Anolis sagrei: one gene and its partner. The protein of the gene in region 2 interacts with the protein of the main gene of each other region in a biochemical or structural test. Links are inferred from orthologs where the notes say so. Each region holds a gene or a part of one and is shown on either strand. Other genes may lie near its edges.

Region 1 (6,937 bases), on a different chromosome or scaffold from region 2:
ACAGGTTGTGCCAACAGCCCCAGGGAAATGCCCTGAAGACAAGTTACAAGAAAAGAGCTGGCAGTGCCAGGGCAGAAATTGAGCAAAAGAGATGGATCGCTTAAAATGAACACAGGAGGGGGCTCCCGTGCCTGTCACACTCAATCCAGAGACACGCTTCTGATGTGGCTCTTTTTAAGGTGGGAGTGGAGGGGCTCCATAAAGCAACAGTATAGGTTTATTTCACCATATTCATAAACACACTGTTTACAGCACACCGTTTTTTGGGGAAAGACTAAAGAGGAGAAAAGAGGCAGCAGCTCAGCACTCCTTATCTTTAAACAAGACCCACAAAGTTTGTGTTTGTGTGAAACAAAGAAATGCAGAGCACTTGAATAAAGGATCAGGAGTCTATCTTAGCTGATGTCTAAATACTGTGTTGTAAAATGTGTGACGTAAGAATATGATGTACTACTGTTAAAATCCTGAAATGTAATAGGGTGAAGAAAGGTCAAAAATAAATATTTTATAACTAATATTACTGATAAGATATGTTACGCAATGAATTTCTGCAACCACGAGCAGACATTTTTGCTGTTTAGAGCAGCCTTCCCAATTTTTTTTTTACCCTGGAGAAACCAGTGAAATAATACCGAGGTCTCAGAGAACCCTTGCCTAAAAATTATTATATTTATGTCTCTGTGCCTTCAAACACACTAAAGGCACTAGATCTCATCTGACTTTATAAACTAAGCAGGGTCAGCTATGTTTTGGATAGGAGTCCGCCAGCAAATACCAGGTGCTGTGGGATATATTTCAGAGGAAGGAACTGTCAAAACCTCTTCTGCGTATTCCTTGTTAAAGAAAACCCAATGAAATGTATGAGGTCACTATAAGACAGCAGGTAATTTGAAGGCATACAGAGAGAGAGAGAAAGAGAAAGAGTCATTTATAAACTTATGTTGACCCCTGAAATTCCATAGGTTTTCCCAGTTCCTTCCACTTAAATATTTGTTGGCAATATCCCATCCACTTTGGCAAACCCTGCTTAGGTTCCAAGATCAAACGGATTTGGGGTCTTTAAGATATTTAAGCCATTTATTATATTTACAACAACAACAACATCATCAACAATAACAACACTTGAGTTAGATTCTGCCCTATCTCCCCAAGGAGAATCAGGGTGGAGTCCAGTATACACAACACAAAGCTAAACATTCAATGCCTAGAAACAATGAAACACAAATAAAGGTAAAGGCTTCCCATTCTAGCTCTGAGGGGTGATGCTCATCACCGGTGCTCATTTCAATTTCTAAGCCAAAAAGCCTGGGTTGTCCATTGCCTTTAAACACCTCCTAGGTCATGTGGCTGGCATGACCTGCATGGAGTGCCATTTACCTTCCTGCGAGGCAGTGCCTGTTGAACTTCTCACATTTGCATGTTTTCAAGCTTCTAGGTTGGCAGAAGCTGGGGCTAATAGTGGGAGCTCACCCACTGATGAGCAGATTTGAACTGCCAACCTTTCGGGCAGCAAGTTCAGCAGCTCAGTGGTTTAATCTGTTGCATCACTGCAGATATAGATAATCAGAATTATTCTGTACTGATCTCTCACAAAATCACATGTGACCTCTTGTGGAATTTTACTATTCCAGGGAACCTTGGTTGAAAAGTCCTGGCTTAGGCAGTTTAGGAAAAAAGGAAGATTAGATTACAAATAGATATATTATTACAGATGTATATATTAAATCAAAGCAGTTCCTTTGGTGCTGAATTTACAAGGCCTGTGGAGGGATTTTGCTTATCCCAGTTTAAGGCCTCTCAAACAAGTTTGTGCTGTGCATTATTTTAATACTGCCTCTTTGAAATGCCTTCACATGAAGTGGCCAGTGTAGATGCACCCTAGAGCTCTTGGAGGAGCCACTGTGGGCCCTGTGTGTCTGCTGGGGTTTAGTCTCAGGACTCCTGCAGATACCAAAATCCAAGTCAGGCTCAATCTGGAAATGGCTGGGCCCTCAGTAGGTATCTACAAGAGTTTGGTTCCAGAACTTCTCATGAACACCAAAATCAAAGGATGTTCAAGTCCCATTATATGCAATGGCATAGTAAATAGTATATGTTATATAAAATGGCACAACCAGGTTTGCTTTTTGGAATTTTAAAAAACATTATCAAGCTGTAGATGCAGAACCCGCATAGGGAGGGCCAGCTTCGCAGTGCCTTCAAACTATGGCTTTGAGTCTGGTTCCAGAGAGGAAAGGAAGTACAAATAGATATAATAACCCAGAAGCTGATGAAGAAACACAACCTACAAACTATCTACAGACTCACTAAGAAAATCCAACAAATGCTACATTTGGCAAAGGACAAGAGGGATCCCCTCATCTCTGCAGGAGTCTACCGTATACCATGCAGCTGTGGACAAGTCTACATAGGGACCACCAAACACAGCATTGCCAAACATGAATCAAGGAAGATGAAAGGCACCGCACATTACTTCAAGCAGAGAAGTCAGCCATAGCAGAGCATCTGATGAACCAACCTCCGGGGGAGGCCATGTGACTGGTAGGGACAAGAGAGAGGGCTTTCTCAGTGATTGGCCCTCAACTTTGGAACTCCCTTCCTGGTGAGATTTGAGCAGTCCCTTCCCTCCTGTCTTTTAGAAGGATGATAAAAACTTGGCTGTGGGACCTAGCCATTGGGACAGTGCAATAAGGCAGCAATAAGAGCCCCGGTGGCACAGTGGGTTAAAGCGCTGAGCTGCTGAACTTGCTGACCAAAAGGTTGCAGGTTTGAATCAGGGGAGTGGGGTGAGCTTCTGCTGTTAGCCCTAGCTTCTGCCAACCTAGCAGTCCGAAAACATGCAAGTGTGAGTAGATCAATACGTACTGCTCTGGCAGGAAGGTAACGGCGCTCAATGCAGTCATGACCTTGGAGGTGTTAACACCGGCTCTTTGGCTTAGAAATGGAGATGAGCACCACCCCTAAGAGTCGGACACCACTGGATTTAATGTCAGGGGTAAACCTTTGCCTTTACTAGGAAACTTGAGGAGCCCCTGGTGGGGTAGCGCAATAGGTTAAACCCTTGTGCTGGCAGAACTGAAGAGGGGCAGGTTAGAGGTTCGGATTCTGGGGAGACCACGGTTGAGCTCCCTCTGTCAGCTCCAGCTCCCCATGCAGGGACATGAGAGAAGCCTCCCACAAGGATGGTAAAACATCCTGGTGTCCCCTGGGTAATGTCCTTAGGTAAAGGTAAAGTTATTCCCCTGATATTAAGTCCAGTTGTGTCTGACTCCGGGGTATGGTGCTCATCTCCATTTCTAAGCTGAAGAGCTGGCATTGTCTGTAGACACCTCCAAGGTCATGTGGCCCGGCATGACTGCATGGAGCGCTGTTACCTTCCCGCTGGAGCAGTACCTATTAATCTACTCACATTTGCATGTTTTCAAATTGCTAGGTTGGCCTTGCAGATGGCCAATTCTCTCACACCAGAAGCGACTTGCAGTTTATCAAGTAGCTCCTGACACACACACAAACCAACCCTCATCACACTAGAGAAAAAAAATCCACTTAAAATCTGGTTTCTGCCTCTTGTAGAATTCTGGAGTTTGTAGTTTAGGGAGGAACCTTTAACAGCCTCACTAAACTACAAACCCCAGAATTCTACAGGAGGCAGAAAGCGGATTTTAAGTGGATTTTTTTCCTCTGGTGTGATGAAGTGCTTGCAACCAGGTTTGATGCGGATGATTGAGACGGTTTAAGCAATAGTGGGAGCTGAAGTCCAAAACACCTGGAGGGAGGGCCCAAGTTTTGCCCGTGCCTGGCGTAGATCCTGGGGAAAGTTTTCCACAACTCGAGCGAGCAAGCCCTGCCACACCTCCCTCCTTGCCTGCCTGCCTGCCTTCCTGGCTACCGGCGGAGGGGGGCGGGCTCGGGGCTTGGCTCCCCTCCCTCCTTGTCTTCTCCTTCCTCGAAACGCGTCGTCCCTTCCCCACGATCGCGCGTCGCCCCCTTTTGTTCCCCTCCTTCCTTCGGGGAAGCCGCGATCCGTGCCATCGGCGCTTGATTATTTGCAAACTCCCTGTGCCTTCCCTCTTGCCCCCCCCCCCCTTCTCCCTCTCTCTTTTCCTCCTCCTCCTCGTTCTCTCATTGCTCTCCCTTCTCCGGCAACTTTTGCAGCCATCTCCCGGCCAGGACCGGCATGCGGAGCTGAGAGAGACCCCGTTTTCGTGGCTGCCTCTCCTTCCCCCCCTGCTTGAAGACCGAAGGGGGTCCCGGTGGTTTGGGGAGGAGGGGACTGGGGAGAGGTGCCTTCTCCTCCGCTTGACCTCTCCTCCTCCCCCTCCTCCTGCTTCTCCTCCTCCTTCTTCGCCCTGCCTTGCCTTGCCTTCCCTTTGAGCGGCTGCGGAGAGAAAGGGATGCGGGCAGGAGGCGGCTGGGCGACGCGGCGGCGGCGGTGGAGGAGGCTCCTCTCCGGAGAGACCCAGAGTCGGCTCAAGATGGCAGATTGCGATTGAGTTTTTTGCCACGCCGGGGGAGGGAGGAGGGGGGCCCGGGAGGAGGAGGAAGAAGAAGAAGAGGAGGAGGAGAAGGAGGCGAGGAAGGGGCTCCCCTTTGGAAGAAGAAGGAGAAGGAGAAGAACCCACAGGCACAGAGACAACCCTGCTTCGCTGGCGTCGCCTTTCGTGGCCATGAATAACAGGCAAACCTCGCACCCATGGCCCCCATGTACGAAGGTAAGCCCCGCCGCAGCAGAAGCCCTTTCTTTCCCATCCGAAGCAGAGGAGGAGGAGGAGGAGGAGGAAGAGACCGGGGGTACAGTCTATCTAAAACGGAGCAAACCCGGCAATTGGAAAGGATTCGGGATTAGAAGGAGAAGGGTGACCACCGATTTGGGGAACACCCCCTTTCACTATGGGGTTGCGGGGGGGGGGGTTCTTCTACACTCCCCCCCCCCCTGCTTTGTGTATATGGGATTCTCCCTCTGTATACTGAAGGATGGCTCTGGCAAGGTAGAACTAAGGTTTCGAGCATAACAACAATCATAATCAGGGATTCCTGTTATTCCTCTGCGCCTTCTCTACCTAAGCAGGCTGGTTCCTCACCAAACTATTACTATTATATTTAATGTTATCTTATAGTCTTATATTACTACTTCTATTATATTTTCTATTATGTTTATTGTATTTTATAGGATTGCTTTTAGTCTATTTTATATTATTATAATTCTATTTATATTACTACTTTTATTATATTATTATATTTTCTATTATTTTTATTATTTTCTATTATTTTTTCTATTACTACTTTTATTATATTTTCTGTTATGATTATTGTAATTTATAGGACTCCTTTTATTTAATTTAATATTACTATAATTCTATTTATATTATTACTTCCATTATATTTTTATTATAATTATTATATTTTCTATTTTATCATTTTTATATTATTATAATTATTATATTTTTATTACTACTTTTATTATATTTTATATTTTTATTATATTTTCTATTACTACTTTTATTATATTTTATATCATTATAATTATTATATTTTCTATTACTTACTTGTATTATATTATATATATTTATTATATTTTCTATTACTACTTTTATTATATTTTGTATTATTATAATTATTGTATTTTCTATTACTACTTTTATTTATATTATAATTATATTTATATTGCTACTTTTATTATATTTTCTATTATTGCAATTATTGTATTTTCTATTACTACTTTTATTATATATTATATTATTATTTTATGTTGCATATTAGTACTACTTTTATTATAATTTATATTATAACTACTACTTTTATTATATTATTGTATATGGTACTTAATAATTTATTATTATTATTATTATTATTATTATTATTAATGTATTAGTATCATTATCATCATCATTTTGAGGGGTTTTTCTTCCCCTCCCTGCTCTCTCCCCGCCCCCTTCGGAGCCGGTCCTTTGGAGAACCTTTCTTCTTCCTCTCCCCCCCCCCTTTCCCCCAGGGACGAGACAGTAGACAGTGCGGGAGGTCTAGACTACCTGGGGACAGGGCCCAGGCTTAGCAAAGTCTCTCTGCGGGAACAATGCCTTTTGACAGACGGCTGCCCGCAATCTCCAGCCTCGATCCTCAGCAAAAGAACCCACGGAAAGTCCTGCAGCTGCGTCACTCGCTGGCCCCGCTCTCCCCACCCTCACCACCCGTGGGTCTGGGCAGCTGAGTGCCTTTGCAGTGCCAGAGGTTTTATTTTCATTTTTTTTTTAGTGTGAAACATGGGAATCCTTGCTATAGGTAGAGATCTACACTGTAAAATGTATGTAGCTTGACACCCTCTTTGAAGTGCAGTGTCAGACTGCATCCACTCTACAGTGTAGATCAGGCCTGGGCCAACTTGGGCCCTCCAGGTGTTTTGGACTCCAGCTCCCACAATTCCTAACAGCCTAACGCATAAGCAGCTGAGGGGGAAAAGGAAAGGGCCTGAGGCTGTTAGGAATTGTGGGAGCTGGAGTACAAAACATCTGGAGGGCCCAAGTTGGCCCATGCCTAGTGTAGATACACACACATCTGTAGCAGTACATGTGTGCGTCTATACCAGGCATCCTCAAACTGCGGCCCTCCAGTTGTTTGGGCCTTCAACTCCCAGAATTCCTGACAATTAAACAAGCTCATTAGGGCTACTGGGAGTTAGAGGCCCAAACAGCTGGGGGGGGGGGGGGGGGACAGTTTGAAGATGCCTGGTCTATATATCCAAAGGAAGTGTTTTGTTCTCATTAAAATATCACAATGGATCTCAGTTTCGAGCTAAACAAGCCTGAGTTTGAATGGCACCGAGTTGACTAAAGTGCATGAAGTTGCCTTTTATATATATATGTGTGTGTGTTTTACTCTGGATCTTGTTCTCAGTTGCTTTCCTTGTCCTTTTCCCAAGCTTCATGGGAGTGGGGGAAAA
Region 2 (7,456 bases):
TGCAAACCCATACTACTTGCATCAGGCCTATTTTGTATAAGCAAGGCTTGAAAACCTTTCCATTTCCTCAGCCCATATAGATGGAGAGGAAGATGATGCACCAGCACTGCAGTGGCAAATGAATTGCATAGGAATAAACCATTTTACCCTGTTCCTCAAGAGTGGGATTATGGTGGTCATTGTGCTTCGTTCTTCTTACCCTGTCAGACTGTTGTTTTTGGCAGTTGTCTTTCAGTCCCAAATTAATGCTTGTGTGAACTCTTAAATGTTCTGATGTACTTGAGTTTTGGAAGGCCTTCTCTGCTGTCTAAGGAGAGCTATATATGTCTCAAATGGATGAATCCTTTGAAGATTTATTCTGCAAACAATGTAGAATATTGTTGGAAGCTTTCATATATATTTAGTTGCTTAGATTTGGTCTTAGTCCAGATGACTGCTAAATGATGTGTGTCTGCAGTGAAATTCTGAATTATTTCCTTCTGGAAACAAACCCTCCAATAATGTTTGGGAAACTTCAGAGGTGACCCCCAACACAGGAAAGTGCTTATGATAGGAGGAAAATAGGATTGAAAGTTTTAATGTGTACTCAGACCATTGTATACTGCAAGTGGAAATCTTTTAAACTACACAGAGACAGAGGTCCAAATAAAAGCTACTTATTTAATATTGGCACTATTATTTATAGAATTTTAATGTTTATGGGTACCACATATGAAATTGAGGAAAAATTATTGTAATTTGGTGGTGTTCGTATCAGATTAAAGCATTGCAAGTATGTTGAATGGTATTATAACATTAGTGACTTTGTAACTAAGTTAGTTATTTACTTCATTGTGAGTTTCTATTCTCATCTTGCAGGTTACATATAGCCAACCTTTGAAATAACAGTTTGCTCCCCCCCCCCCTCATTTTTCCTGTGCACCCTTTCTCACTAGAACTGGCCAGTTGTCCCTCATGAAATCTTGCGGTTGACCATTTCACCCAGTTCCCACCCCATTGCCTGCTTTATGCCCATTTGGACTTTTTTCTCTCTTCAAAATGGGAAGTGGTTGTCATTGCGGTTTGAGAAATAATCCATATGGCACTAAAATAGTCTATATGAGCTAAAAGAGGTATTGAGAAATTGAATTAAATGTCTGGTTGTAACTTTTGCTGAAAGAAGTTTTTTAAAACACTTTTTTGGGGGGGTTGGTGGGTAAGGGAGGAGATACAAAAGTGGGGAGAGTCTGGTCTTCTATGGTCCTGGGATGATAAAGCCTCTGTCATGTCCTGATACTTCTAATAATGTGGATTGAAAACTGGAGTTTGAATTATTTGATTGAGGAATAGTTTTAGAAACAATTAATCATTTCTATTAAGTTATCTATGTTTGGATTGTTCAAAAATAACCAAACTTCTATGTATCATTGGAGTCAGCTGGGGCTTTGCAGGTGTTGGACTAGTGCCTGGATGCTGTCATGGGCTGGATGAAGGCCAGTAAACTGAAGCTGAATCCTGGTAGACGTAGGCTCTGTGAAATGGAAGTTATTCCATCCAGGAATTGAGTAACAGTTTGTTCTGGATGGGGTTGGACTCTCCATAAAGCAACAGATATCCAGCTTGGGAATGCTCCTAGTTTCCATCCGTGTCACTGAAGGCTAAAGTGGGCTTTGTAACCCAGAGTGCTTCATGCCAGCTTTGACTGGTGCCTATGACCTTTCCTGGATAACCTAACCACAGGTAATTCATGCACTGGGAACCTTCTAGGCTACTGCACTGTGTTCTGCATGGGGCTGCCATTGAAGGTTTGGAAACTGCAGTTAGTGCAAAGTACAGCAGCTTGACTGCTGAAGAAATATCATATACACAACATTTAATGCCAGTTTTAAAATAATTGCACTGGCTGCCAATACATTTCAGGTCTGAATACAAGGTGCTTATGGGGATACCGCAAGCCCTAAATAACTCTGACACTTGAAGGAATGCCTCTTCCTATGTTTACCTGTCTGAGAATTAAGATCTTCAGAAGAGGAGGGGTTTTCCCTGTCCCACCATGAGATGACTATGTCAGGACATGGGAGAAAGGCTTCTCAGCTGTTGCATCCCAGCTATGGAATGCTCATCTCCTGGAGGCCCAGCTGGCACCAATGCTCCTCCCATGAAAGCCTTTGAACCTCATTAATGCAACCTAAATATTATTATTTACAACTTTTTCAACTTGGTTTTTAAACATATTGTTGGATGTGATTTAAGTTTATGTACAGTCTGTTGCTGTTTTAGCCCGTTTAACCTGTTCTACTGCTGTTACAAATTTCCTTGCGATCACTTGACATAGGATGGGGTGTAAATATTTTAATAAATATATAAAATAAAGTGCAATGCTTTTTTTGTTATTAGAGTAGTGCTTTGGAAGAAAAATGAATAGCAAATACAGTCTAGAGTATATAATTTCAGGATGTTAGTGATATATTGTCGTTATCTATGTTTTCTTAGAGCTAAACATAGCTAAACACAGTCCAATTGCTACAGTTCTGGCAAGCAATTTTGTTTTCTCCAGTTTTTTTGTACTTCCTTTAGAAATACATTAATATAATAACTGTCATCACATCTGTAATGTAGAGCAGCAATGTAGTATGCATTGATACTACCTCTTCCATCTACTGATTATTTACATTTTACATTTATTTATTTACATTTTAAAAGATTAGGATTCCATGATTCAAAACATAGCACTGACCTGTAGTTGTCCCAACAGTTGGTTTGTGGCAACGTACCTAGCATATCTCTTTTCCATCTCATGTGGAACCAGGGTCATATTTAGGAAGTAAATGTATAAAAGAGAAGAAGAGAGAGGGGGCCAGGGGACATTCCATCTTGTCTCCAGTGCTATTCTAATAATATAAAATATAATAATATAATATAATATATATACATAAAATATTTATAATATTATAATGTAATGCAATATAATAATATATTATAATTATATATTTATATTACATGTAATATTACTAATAATATTACGATATAGTGATATGGTGCAATATAGCAATGTTTAATGCTGATATTGTACTATGCTAATAATATAATATATTGTATGTAATATATACCTTGTAAGCCGCTCTGAGTCCCCTTCAGGGTGAGAAGGGCGGCATATAAATGTCGTAAACAAACAAATAATAAATAAATAAAAGTACCAGATCCTGTATGATCTTGGAAACCAAGCATGTTCATCCCAGGTTAGTATTTCAGTGGGAGACCACCAATGGATATGAAGTTCTGTGAGCGATGTAGTTTGCATTAGCCACAGATTCATCCGTCCATGGTTTGAAAATATTGCAAATTTTGATTTTACACACAGTTTTACTATGCCATTGCATATAATGGGATTTAAGCATCCGTGAATCTTCATATCCATGGGATGTATGTGGGGATAGACTGGAAACAAATCAAGGACTAACTATATTCCAGTGAAAGGAACTCACAAAACCATCTCTGAGTATTCCTTGTTTAAGAAAACCCTATGAAGTTTTTAGGGTCTCTGTATGTCGACAGGTAACTTGAAGGCACAGGAGACTATCACTTTGTTTAGAAGCATTTTGAAGTGCCCGTGAAACAAAGATAAGAATAAAGAGCCATAATTTTGCTCCTTTTTTGTCGTTGTTGCCTTAACTGTGTATGTGTGCGCGTGTTTTTTTTACACATTATCCATATACATTCCTTAAATGCTTTAAACAGTGAAAAGTGTATCCATGAACTTCTAGAATTAGCAGTTGCTTCCTCCATGTGTCATCACTGTTGCTCTCTGCTGTGCCTAGTATTTTGTATATGGTAATCCCTCCCCCCATTTTTTGCAGAGACGACAACAACTTCCACCCCCGGATTACTATGTCCTCCACAGAGTTTGGGTTCGCTAAAGTTTCTTGAATTTTGCCAGCCCAGTTTGCTAAGGGAATCCTTTTCTGGCGAGATCACAGAGGAGAGTGCACTGCTAATGTTATCTCACTTTTGTTTCTTTTTTAAAAAATGATCCTTAGTTCAGAGAGCGGCCTTTTATGGGAAGGTCCAAAATTCAGAGGCTGTGCAGATGCTGTGCTTGCAAAGAGCTCCAGATTGAGTCACTGACCTGGCCAGGTAAAGTTGGAAAGGACCCCAGTAAACACCGTGGAGAATTGTTGCTAAGTTAGCATCGAAAGCCACATTGTACAGACATTGCCCTGACTCCTTAGCACAAGAATAGAGTGATGCCTTTGAGGTGAGCTGTGACTGGGGCTGGCCTTGCGTGGCAGAGAAAAAGCCCAACCCTTCTTTTCCCAGCGTCTCCTTTGCTGTGCTCAGCAGTCTCTGGCTCTGAGGAATGCTTGCCTTAGCTGGCTGCCAGCAGAGTCCGGCCGGTCATGTGAGACTGGTCCGCCCCATCACCCGCCTCCTTCCCTTCCCTCCCTGGGCTGAGGAGGGACGCCGCCTCTTCCTCCTCCTTTCCCTCCCATTTGTTAGGAGCTGAAGCAGAGCAAGATCAGGGCTCTGTCCACAGCCGGTGGCTTTACTCCTGGTGCTGCCGTCTTCACTTGTTTTGTCTTTGGCTGTACTCTTCATTCTTGGGCTAGAGCTTCATTATCGTCTGGTTGGATGCACTTGAAATCGTACAAGATGTGGTGTTGGAAATTCCAGGATCCTTATCAGGGAGCCTTGCTGATCTAGTGGATATACCTAATTGGAGCTTTGCCAGATCTACAGCTTCACCTCTTCTACTCCCACCTTGCTTTGGATTACTTGGAAAACTTTACTTCAACGCGGGGAGCTGACTTTCATTGCCCTGGTTTGTCCCAGGAGTGGCGAGCCTCTTGTGGCTGTGGCCCCCCTTCTGGGTGCTGTATTCCTGCCTTGGAGTTTCCAGGAGGGGCCTCTGTTGTGGATTGTTTTAGTTTCTATGGAGAAACGCAATGAGCTCTTTTACTCCTCATGACGGGGAAATCCGCCTTCAGTTTTTTATATGCGTGGAAAGGAGTCCTTGATACATGCCTGCCAGGAAATAAAGCCAGCAAAAGAAAAGGTAGCCATTGTTTGACCAGAATAGTTAGGTGCTGCATTTCAGTGTTAAAAGTTCGCTGTTGCCTGGGATATCACAAGCATGCACTCTTCATTGTTTGGCTCGATATCAGAAATGCCTCTGGGTAATTCTTCAGTATGAGAGCTGATCCTGCAGTTCTTAGTCCAGCTGGTAATTTCCTTTTTTGTAAAATCTAAGGAATTTAGCAAAATTAGGTTTGTGGCTTATACCTTTCCTTGTCTTTACATTCAATACATGTTTGAAAAGGGGCAGAAATAACTACAATCACTGATACACTTCATGGGAAAACAGACCAGTGTTGACATTGTCCACATGGCCTGTTTTACATTCTATCACTCTACAATAATGGCACCACCCTGGAATCTAGCGTGACCTGTAACACCGAAGAAATCTTATCAGGATCTGAATATAGTTTTCTTCCTGAAGTGCTGCCAAGTATTGAACTGACCTAACATGTTTGTCTTTAGTTACCATGATAAATAAAAATGGGGGGAGAGATAAGAGACTTGCCTTTCTTTGCTTTCATCTGAGTATCTTTTAATGCCAAGACACAAGAGATGCCATGTATTGTTTTCCCTTATGCTGACATCAAACATCCTGAACATATTTCTGCTCATTGGAATTTTGGAGCATGTAGTGGTAAAGAACAAAGTAGCTGGACTTCTCTCATATGATAATGGACTAAACTGGATTCGTGTAATCGTTATTGAGAGAAGTCTTGCTTTAATCAGAGCAGATGCATTTATAGGCTGCTGAAAGCTCTATCTGTATTTCAGAATTGGGCAGGACCTGACAGGCTCTGTGATGATGAGAAAGGATCCCACACTTAGCACACATTTTGTAGCTTGTGTTTTGGGAAGGCACATAAGGCATACTTAAGAGTAGTGGCTCAACAGGCTGTCCTGGTTCTCCTTGTTGTATGAGGATGAGTTTTCCATCCAGAGTCACAGGCCTTTTTGCATATATCCTCCTGATGTTGATCCTTTTCATTCCTAGAGACTTGTGTTGAGATTTCTGCCAGTGAAAATGACTGTGGTGGTTGACTTCAGCTGTTGCCAAGTAGTAAATTGCTCATTTTAACATTGCTTCTTCTTTGGGAGTTAATATAGCAGGTCATTAGAAACAGCTTGCAGATAACCACTCACTCCCACTATTTTGCATGTGTTCTGCAAAGGCAGCTTCACTCAGGTTGCTGATATATATATGTGTGTGTGTGTGTGTGTGTGTGTGAACCACAAGATAAAATCATATATATGTGTGTGTGTGTGTGTGTGTGAAAATCATATATATATGTGAACCACAAGATAAAATCTAAGCTTGGAATCAGGTTTGTCAAAGGTTGGGTCCAAGGTTGATTCCACAACAAAAGAAGAGTGTTAGTTACTCAAGAACAAAACATAAACTGTGCATGTTGATAGAAGAAAAGAAAATACTGTGGTTACCATAAACATATGACTGTCCCATTTAGTATCTGTGTTCCCATGGTGCTCTCAGGTTTAACTCTTCCATTTCAGTAGCATCTGCACACTGCAGTGGCCTTGTAATTTAATTACTCTTGGTTTTTTGTCCGGTTGCTCACTGCTTTATCTTGCAGAGATCTTATGATTACAGTACTTATCAACGCCTAATGGAAAAGGAGGTATGCAGATTTCCCACTAGGAAAATATACAATTTTTAGGGTATTTTCACAGTAATTTAAAAATGGAAGTGAACTTTATTTATTTCTAGTTCCATAATGGCATTTATTTTTAAAAATCAGTTTCATTTAATATTATATTATCTATGGCAAAACATAGATATTATGGTGATGGGGCTGATCAGTTGTTACTAGTAAAGTAATAATGTAAACACAACTACTGAAATGATTATTATTGTTGTAAACACAAGCAGAATGATACAAATGTCAAAAACAATCCCACAAGGTTAAACAGAAAAAATAGATAATGATATTCCACTTGCATTTTCTCTCAATTTGATATATCCTATTATCTTAACCTTACCAGCTCCACAATCAAGTCTCACTTGTATTCAGTAGTTTTTCTCCCCCTCCCCCACCCCACCCTCTGGTGTTATTTTAATTGATCAATCGTGAAGAAAGTATGATTCAGTTCTTTATATTATCCTTTTCTATTTACTTTAGCTATCAAAATTCCCCATTTGAGTCCCAATTCTTCTTGAAATGGCTTGTTGTGTATTTATTTAAAGAATGGTTGTGTTAGTTTTCTTATTGGTTTTTTTTTTTTAAAAAAATTGAACTTTCATATCATAACAGTTAGCTATCTAGGTTTAGGTATACCCAGCAAAAGTGAGAAAGGTGAATTTTTTATGTTGCATGTTGGATATCTGATCATTAGAAAACAAAGGAGACCCATGGCTTTCTTGATTGAATTACAGTGTAGTGTGTTC

The links. The genes of interacting proteins can lie anywhere in the genome.
Region 1: of the proteins of SIAH1 (region 2) and HIPK2, one has a biochemical effect on the other in vitro, tested with the Homo sapiens proteins (4 studies listed by BioGRID, with this or other methods). The link is inferred for Anolis sagrei from reciprocal best matches to the Homo sapiens genes SIAH1 and HIPK2.

What each region holds. Positions count from the first base shown.
Region 1 is NC_090025.1:172,264,036-172,270,972, forward strand, and holds the start of HIPK2 (homeodomain-interacting protein kinase 2), read left to right. Parts: upstream 1-3,928; 5' UTR 3,929-4,693; coding exon 4,694-4,712; intron 4,713-6,937.
Region 2 is NC_090028.1:36,559,119-36,566,574, forward strand, and holds the start of SIAH1 (E3 ubiquitin-protein ligase SIAH1), read left to right. Parts: upstream 1-4,448; 5' UTR 4,449-4,941; coding exon 4,942-5,032; intron 5,033-5,064; exon of another isoform or gene 5,065-5,166; coding exon of another isoform or gene 5,167-5,200; intron 5,201-7,456. UniProt on the Homo sapiens protein: E3 ubiquitin-protein ligase that mediates ubiquitination and subsequent proteasomal degradation of target proteins.